Linked DNA regions of Mus musculus. The protein of the gene in region 2 binds, or shares a complex with, the protein of the main gene of each other region. Links are inferred from orthologs where the notes say so. Each region holds a gene or a part of one and is shown on either strand. Other genes may lie near its edges. The genes, in order: Rora and Nrip1.

Region 1 (3,808 bases), on a different chromosome or scaffold from region 2:
CACTACTCACTCAATGGCTACCTTGCAGCTGAACTCAAGCTTACATATGACACAGACAAAGATATTTGCTGCTTGCCGAGTGTTTTATAGCAAATGGCTACTATACACAGAAAAATAGGTGTATCACCCTTTAGCTTTGGTTCCACATAACCAGTTTCTATTGTGCCACATGCTTGTACATGATCCCCACTTACAGAGACAAAACTGTGAGCTTTCCTTACCTAGGGACTTGAAGACATCGGGGCTCGCATACTTCCCGTCAAAGTACACGGTGTTGTTCTGAGAGTCAAAGGCACGGCACATCCTAATAAACACCACCTCTAGCGAGCCTGCACGGAGGAAGGATTGTTTAGAACCGTCCCACAGACCTTAGTTCCTTTCTGAGGTACTGAAACAGATGCCTTCCTGAGATGGCACAGCGCTTTGTGCCTGGCTTCTCAGTCTCACTGGCCCTCTGTCCAAAGGGGCAGAAGAAATGAAGACTGACTCACATTGCAGAGGGCAACATTAATGCATACTTATTGCAACAATCCAGCCTAGGAATGACTCTTTGAGCCCAGAAGCATCTTTCCAGCAGCTCAGCACTAGGGCTTGAAGGGTGATAGTAAGATCATGGGCGTACAAAAATTCCCTAGTGGAGCCTTCTTCCCGGAGGAATAGGAAAATGGGAGGAATGCTTTCTGAGCATATCTTTTAAAAATATATCTACACACACACACATACACACACAGATACAAATAACTAGTGTATGAGTATTTTGCTTGCATGTGTGTGTGTGTGTGTACCATGTACACGCCTGGTGTCTGTGGAGATCAGAAGAAAACATTGGGTCCCCTGGAACTGTAGTTATTTATGGTGGAGCATCCAGGTGTGTGCTGGGATTGAACCTGGGTCCTCTGCAAGAGCAGCAAGTGCTCTAACCATAGAGTCATCTCCTCAGCATCCCCCCCAAACACAACTTTAAAATGTTTTTATAAAAAGGGTTCAGTTTCTGCTAAGTATACCCTGAGCTATTATCACTGAAGAAAATGCCTTCGACATCTTCCTTAGCAAGCATTTCTGTAACAAGCAGGTGAAAACAGGCAGGAAGTGGGTATTAGGATTCACTCGCAGCACACATACCTGCTTTTAGAAGCACAATTTGATCATTTTGACACAGCTCCATAAATCCATCAATGCGTTTGGCAAACTCCACCACATACTGGATAGCTTCTGTAATCTTGATGGCACACAGCTGCCACATCACCTCTCTCTGCTGTGAAAGAGGAAGGCACATTAGCATAAGACTAGCTGGGAACCCTGGTGCAGCCAGCCTCGGGCTGGCTTCCTAGTTTGTAAAAAGCTTTCTTTGGAAATGGGTTAAAAAAAGATTATAGGATTAAAAAAAAATAGTCTCTGTTACTTAGGTTATAAAAGCCTGCTTCCGTATCCTTTCTGCCTACTGAGATTCCTAGCTTACAGTTTGAAGGTGATGGAATGGAGGGTGGCAGCGAGGTGGGGGGTAGAAAGTGAGGAATATTATGGATGTATGGGGCCAACAGCTCAACACAAGTCAGGAGAGCAATATACATTACTGCTTAGCTGTGGGCTACACAGTAAGACAAGGATCTTCTTTTTCATGCAGTTAATTTATTTTAGGGAGTTTACCCATGCTCTCCTTGGAGGAGGGGAGGGAAGAAAAGGGGTACCAACCACATTTTTTTGTCTGTACCCCCTTATGTTTGATAACATCCCTGTTTCATATCATACACATTGTCTTCTATTCAGAAATGACATCAAAACGCTGAGGCTTCTCAGCTAGTAGTACAGTGTAAGAGGAGCTGAGGTCGAAACCCTACTTCTCAAGGCTTGCTGGTTCTCCTCTGTGGCTGGGATGATGGGGCTACTTTGCACTGAGAGGCAGACTAAATGAGCTGTTGCCGGTCCCTTCTTCCCTCCCACTCATCACAGTGTCCTGGGGCTTTTTGCTTTGCTCCTCTGCTCTTCCGATACACCCTGTTGTTTAAGGTTGGTTTAAGGTTCTTTCTAATAGTATGATGGGGATCAAACCCTGGAGTTGAGTCACATGAGGCCATGGTGTTAATGCTCTCACTGCGTGGTCACAGCCAAGGGATGACAGTTTTCTTCCATTTCACAGCAAAGGGAAGGATCCACCTCTATCATCTCCATGGTCCTTCCCTAGCCCGACTTTCTATGATCACTGGAAAACGCCTCCATATCTTCTCTTTCCAAAGGCAAAGTGAATAAGTACCACCACCCTACCTGCAGCTTACCCTCACACTTTAGTGACCCCATTGGTCATTATCGTTGAGAGAAAAGCAAGTAGGGTCATCACCTGTCAGGCTCCGTTTTGGTTCTGAGCAGTTATAGCCAGACTTTCCAAACCTCATTCTTCTCCTTCTTTATTAAAGCCATTTTAACTTTGTGTGTGTGTGTGTGTGTGTGTGTGTGTGTGTGTGTGTGTGTGTGTGTGTGTGTAGCACAGAGGCTCAGGTCCCCTGAAGCTAAAATTACAGGTGAGCTACTTGACATGGGTGTTGGGAATCAGACTCAGACCCTCTGGAAGAGCAGCAAGTGCTCTTATCCAGTGAACCATCTATCTCACCAGCCCCACCTTTGCCCACAATCTCTAGCCAACTATTTGTTAATCTAGAAGCATGTAGCATGGGGCTGAGAGTACTTTCCTCAATTCTTAGACCTCAGAATCTTTTTCTGTGGCATCAGGACAAATCCTCACTCGTGGAGGCTTTCGGAAGCTGCCCGATCCAGTTATCCCAACTGGCACAAAGGAAGGACTTACGAAACACAATAAACTTTGTTCCAGCTGAACTTTCACACGCTAGCATCTCAGGAAGACAACAAAGCTCTGGCTGTAAGATCCTGATCAGAGACTTGAGCTCTGATGCAGGACAGTCAGCCTTGGTCTGTCTGGACTCTTGAATGAATGCCCTTCTCCCACCCCCACCCAATGTTGCCTCAGTGGGAAGAGAAAGTCCTCCAACTCTACCTTGTTCTGGTAGTTTTCAATCTCCTCCTGCAGGAAGGTCTGCCACGTTATCTGCTGGAGCTCTTCCCGCAAGTACTGGCAGGTTTCCAGGTGGGATTTGGATATGTTCTGGGCAAGGTGTTCTGGGGAGAAAACAGGAGATCACGACCATGAACAGCCACGTTATTTTAGGAGCCAATAATACTCTTCTGCCGGTGTCATCCACCTTAAAAAGCAACTCACTTAAAGCAATGTGCTGACATTTGGTTTCCTTTGTATAGCTAAGGAAGATGGAAACCGCCTGTGTTTGTGCCCCAGGGGATGGAGGAGAGAGGCTTTGCAAAGCCAACAAGACTGCTGGAAGTATGGTGGATTCAGAGACTTGAAGACCTTGGCCTTGTCATAGGCTTTCTGCCCGTGTCTGGAGATGAACATGGGTTAGGCAGGAAAAATGAAAAACAGCCTCTTCTTGGCTTTTTGTGCTGTCCTGACAAAAGTGGGTCTTTAAAAGCCAGGAAGTTATGTAAGTGTGCACATGTCTGTGTGTGAGCACAAGAGCATACATCTTTTTATTTCTGCAGTATGTGTATGTGTCTCGAGTGTCTTCCTTAATTGCTCGCTCCCCTTGCTCCCTGTCCCCCCCCCCTCCCCCATGGTTGGGTCTTTCACTGAACCTGGAGCTCTTTGATTAACCTAAACTGGCTGGCAGTGAGGCCCTGGGCCTGCCTCCTCCTCTTCCTCCTTCCCGGGGCTGTACTTATACCATGCCCAGGGGTTTGGTTTTGTTTTGTTGTTGTTTTGTTTTTGTTTGTTTTGTTCTTC
Region 2 (4,548 bases):
ATTCATTTTTTTTGGTTGTCCTCAATGTTCTAAAATAGTGATGTCTGGCAGAATTAATGCAGTGCTCTAGTTCTCTCTGTTCGGCTGATATTTAATTAAAGATCTGGGAGGCCATCTTTCAGGCGACACCGTGGAAGGAGGAGCCTTACTCCCTCCTTGGACAATGTGATAAGCCACATGGCAGAGGGTGCCTCCTTCAGGCCTCCTGTTTAACAGACTGCTTCCCTGCAAACAGTCCTCCAGCAGGACAGGTTGTATAGCACTTCCCTTCACACTGACTGTATGCTCAAACACATGATCTCACAGGCATCGACTCTCTACTCCCTAACCTTCTCCACATCCAAACTGTTGGTAAGTGGCACCACTCCTCCCTCTCTATATTTTTTTAATCATAGCTTCTGTCCCCCACCTCCCCACCCCAGAACCTCTCAAGGCACTGAGAACACTTATTTTGTAATATTTCTTGAATCTCTAATAACACAGGAAAATCTTTGCACAGTCAGAGCCACCTTGGAGCACAAGCTAAAAGAAGCTATCTTTAAAAAATTTTTTTTTTCTTTTGAGTTAATATCTTCTGGAGACTAGCCCACTTGAGTTGATATGTCATAATTTTTGATTCCGAAAGCGGCATGGGTAATTTAAATTGGCACTTGCTATGCATTACTGAAATAATTGTTCTCCGGGATGGCCTTTGGAAAGCCTAAACTTCTAATCATGTTTTGACTATACAGGAACCATAAGGGATGTGTCAACGTAAGCAGACTCCAAGAGCAATAGACTAACAAACAGACTCTAGGTGGTGGTATAGGTTATTTTTTAATCACAATGTTTTGCTCTTAAAGCTGTAGGAGTCAAAGCCTTGGCCTTATCCACAAACATTTTGCCATTGCTAACGCACAATATTTTCAGATCTCTCGATTATAAAAATTCAAGTTCGGCAAAGTTTGGAAACACAGATAGGTGGCTCTAAGTCTTCTCGTAGCCACTGAAGCCTGGTTTCCAAGTATCTTGAAGGCACTTCACAGGACTCATCTGTATACAAACAAGCAGCAACCGAACTTCCCTCCTTAGAGTTTGTATGTCTACTTTTTAAGTATATTTTCTTCATGCTCCAGTCCCTGAAAGGCTAAGTGTGGAGAGAAGTGTCCCCAGTAGAGTTATTATAAAACAGGCTGGAGTAAGTATCTGGTTTGCAGGTACTGCCTGCTACAATTCTGACTCTCCTTCTTTGTCTACAGTAACTAAGTCCTGTACAGAAATTTCCTGTTGGTTTTGAAGTCCCTGAATCAATTAAACCCTGTTGGATATTACCAAACTGCTGGGCAAAACCAGGGCAACTCACTTGGAAGTGGAAGATTTCAACATACTCCAGACAGCAGCCACTCTTAGGGGCCGTGCATAGGAAGCACCGTTTGTTTAAAAAGTCGACTTATTTCACTCTTAGACAAAGGTGGCAACCTGATGATTAAACACTGGATAATTGCATCTGGAAGATGCCGCCCACTTGCTAAACCTGTGATTCACTAATAAGCGGGTTCAATGTAATTCATAACTTTAAAGAATTACTAAAGCCCCTGCTTTACAAAACCCAAGAAACACAGACCACACATCATTTAAGCATGTATTCGTATACACAGACACAGACAGACAGACAGACATGCCAATCTTGGTTTACTTTTAGTCTGTCTCTCTTTCTCTAAAAACACGGTTTTCCTTCAGTGTCACAATCAGCTTACATGAGCAGACAAACTCCAGCCTGGTGCCACAAAAAAATGAGTTAAAAGTTCTTGCACCTAATCATGTCCGGACTTTCCCCCAACTAAAATGACCCATTAATTAAAACAACAACGACGACGACAAAGTATTTTAACGTGAAATTACCTAACGTTCCGTTTTTCGTTTACGACCTCCAGAATCCAGTTAAATTACTGACATGATGGAAGGTAGAAACTCCTGGAATGCCTTAGAGATCAACATGTGTCAGACTCTCTGCCTGTCCGCCTTTTAAACACAGTGGATTCCTTTGTTCCTTCAGTCTGAATATCAACTCCTGATTAAAATTTGGAAAGTACTTTGGAAAGGGATAGGAGGGTCTGGGGAATGTTTGCACGCTAGAGGGTTTCTTCTAACAACAATAGTATTAAAGGAGGACAGTGGCACCAGAGAGGAGAGCGGTCTCCCCGGACTTTACCAGGCTCATGCGAGTGAACCCCCTCTCGGATGCTGGGGGAACTGGGCTGAGGCCTCGGGTGCAAGGAGCCTCGCCCTCCCTCGGCAAGCGGGGAGCTCGTGCCCAGCAGGCCGGGCCTGGGGCTCAGTGCTGCCCCTTCTCCGAGTCACTTTTCCCGGCCGGGGATCGGCGAGCACCGCGCAAGGGAGACGGCAGCGATAGGCGGGGAGCAGCGCGGGCGCCACCGAGAGCACCGCTGGGCGGCAGGACCGAGCGGCGCGGCAGCCAGCGCCCGGGGCTCGGGGCCAACGGGGGCAGCTGGGCGGGCGAGCTCGACCGGGGCCCCGCGACCCGGCCACCCGCGTGGGTCCCGGCGCAGAACACCCAGGGCGGCTGCGCCCCTCGCGCCAAGGCTGGCACGGACGAGCCCGCGGCTGGGAACTCCACAACTTGGCGGCTGCGCCGGCCGGGCCCGCGAGTTCCAGGGGAGAGCCGGAGCGGGGCGCGGCGGAGGGCTGTCCCCGGGATCCGTGTTCCCGGAGCTCCCCGCGGGCCTCCCCCGGCCTCCGCCGCCTCCACGGGCCGCGCACCCAGGCCGTGCCCGGGCGGCGCGGCGTCCGCTCCCGCGAGCTCCGCACGGAGCCCGGGCCGCGATTGCCACTCACCGAGGCCGCCGCGGCTCCGGGCCGCCGATCCGCGTCGCTCCCTCCTTCCCAGGTTAGCCGTGCCCTGCGGCCGCGCGAGGCCACGGGCGCTGCGCTCGGGCGGGCTGGGGCCGGCTCGTCCTCCGCCTGCGCCGCGGTCGCCGTCGCCTCCCGAGTTCGGGGCTCTGCTGCAATGTCTGCGAGGCTGACTTTGAGCGCCTCGCTCGCCGCCCGCCCGCCGCAGCCGCGCTCCTCCCTCCGCCGCCGACTTCGCGGCGGCCGGGTCCCTCCCCTCGCTGCTCCACGCCATTCAGCTCTTCAGCCAAGTTTCTTAACCCTTTTCTGCCCCTCCCTCCCATTGTCACCCGGGCCGAGCGCGCACCCGGAGGCTCGGCGGAGCCGGGGAGCCCACCGGGCGTCTGCAGGCCTCCTCGCCGGTGCTCCGGGTGGGGGTCCGGGACTGATCGGCCTTGAAGGCAGAGAGAGGACGCGGTTGGACCCGGAGAAGGAGGGGGTGCTGTGCTTCCCGAGCCGGCGCCCTGGCTTCCCAGCCCCGTCCAGCCAGCCGCCTGGACAGATTCCCCGCTAGGGGCCAGGCGATCGCCCATGTCACCCGTGCCGGGGCAAACGCTGGGGGCACCACAGGGGCGTCGGGGCACCTTAATCCTACCCCAGGTTCCCCAGCCTACGTGCTGGCACCTTAAGTGTCTCCCTTTCTCCCGTTTCACCCCACAAACACGCGTTCTTTTGGCGCCCTTTACCCACCCTCAATTTCCACCTCCTTAAAATCTGTGTCCCGCTCAAATCCCGGAAGCTGCGGCGCTGTATAACTCTAGGTCATTTTGACCCCATGCTCAGCACCTAGTAGGACCCAGTGATAAATATGGCATGATTCCAAGCGGAAAACTGGAAAGGAGACCTGAGGAGTGCACAGCTAGCTCCCTAGACGGACGCAGGACCCAGGAACCTGGTTTCTCTTCTGCTGCTTTGTCACTGCGAAGTCTCCAGCAGGGTCTGCCCGCCAAACTGCACCACCCCCAGGAAGGATCTGACCCAACAGGACTAGGAGATGGGCTGTCACTTCTTTAAAGCAGCTCTTGCTGGGTTCAGAGTCTCAATAAATAACAATTACATCATATAGCCAGGGTGGCAATGCAGGGAAACTTGGGTTTCCTGCAGCCTGGTCTCGCTGAACCCGCCTCTAAATTTGAGGTGGGCTAACAGATTGGTGAGGCGAGAAAGTGGAGGGAGGAGAGAAAAATAAGAAACCATGATCTCTTCCTCGCCTTGTGTTTTCTGCTTTTAAAACCTATTCTCTCTACTCCCTTCATATCTTACTTGTGAAGCCTCCTTTTAACGCTCCCCCTACCCCAGATGTCTCTGTCTCGTTTGTTTTTGACTCTAGTCATGAAAAGAATTACCTGCGGGAAGACTTGTGGTTGCAGAAGTTGTTTTTGTTTGACATTAAAAAAAAAAAAAAAAGGCTAAAGTACATCTTCGATTCACCCTAAACTCTGAAGTGCTATCCCTGCCTTAAAATACTTACTAAGACAATTTTGTGGATGAAGCTTTCTACTCTCATATGTTTTCATATCCTTAAGAATTTCGGTAGCATTTGGAAGCAGTTATTGATGCACACCAAAACCAAAAATTATCCAAGTGACCCAACCGTATTCTTTACTGTTATATAATAGCTCTATAGCTATTTTTCGGATTTTTCAAATGAAAAACGTC

What was found.
Region 1: the proteins of Nrip1 (region 2) and Rora are in contact, whole or in part, in a crystal structure (PDB 4S15), measured with the Homo sapiens proteins. The link is inferred for Mus musculus from reciprocal best matches to the Homo sapiens genes NRIP1 and RORA. Residues at the interface, in NP_001426204.1 of Homo sapiens: Thr499, Leu500, Leu501, Gln502, Leu504, Leu505, His507; in NP_599023.1 of Homo sapiens: Gln332, Val335, Lys339, Phe344, Met345, Gln349, Gln352, Ile353, Leu356, Pro505, Leu506, Glu509, Leu510.

What each region holds. Positions count from the first base shown.
Region 1 is NC_000075.6:69,370,536-69,374,343, reverse strand, and holds part of Rora (nuclear receptor ROR-alpha), read right to left. Parts: intron 3,130-3,808; coding exon 3,008-3,129; intron 1,256-3,007; coding exon 1,123-1,255; intron 330-1,122; coding exon 222-329; intron 1-221. UniProt on the Homo sapiens protein: Nuclear receptor that binds DNA as a monomer to ROR response elements (RORE) containing a single core motif half-site 5'-AGGTCA-3' preceded by a short A-T-rich sequence.
Region 2 is NC_000082.6:76,370,037-76,374,584, forward strand, and holds the start of Nrip1 (nuclear receptor-interacting protein 1), read right to left. Parts: upstream 3,014-4,548; 5' UTR 2,836-3,013; intron 1-2,835. UniProt on the Homo sapiens protein: Modulates transcriptional activation by steroid receptors such as NR3C1, NR3C2 and ESR1. Also modulates transcriptional repression by nuclear hormone receptors.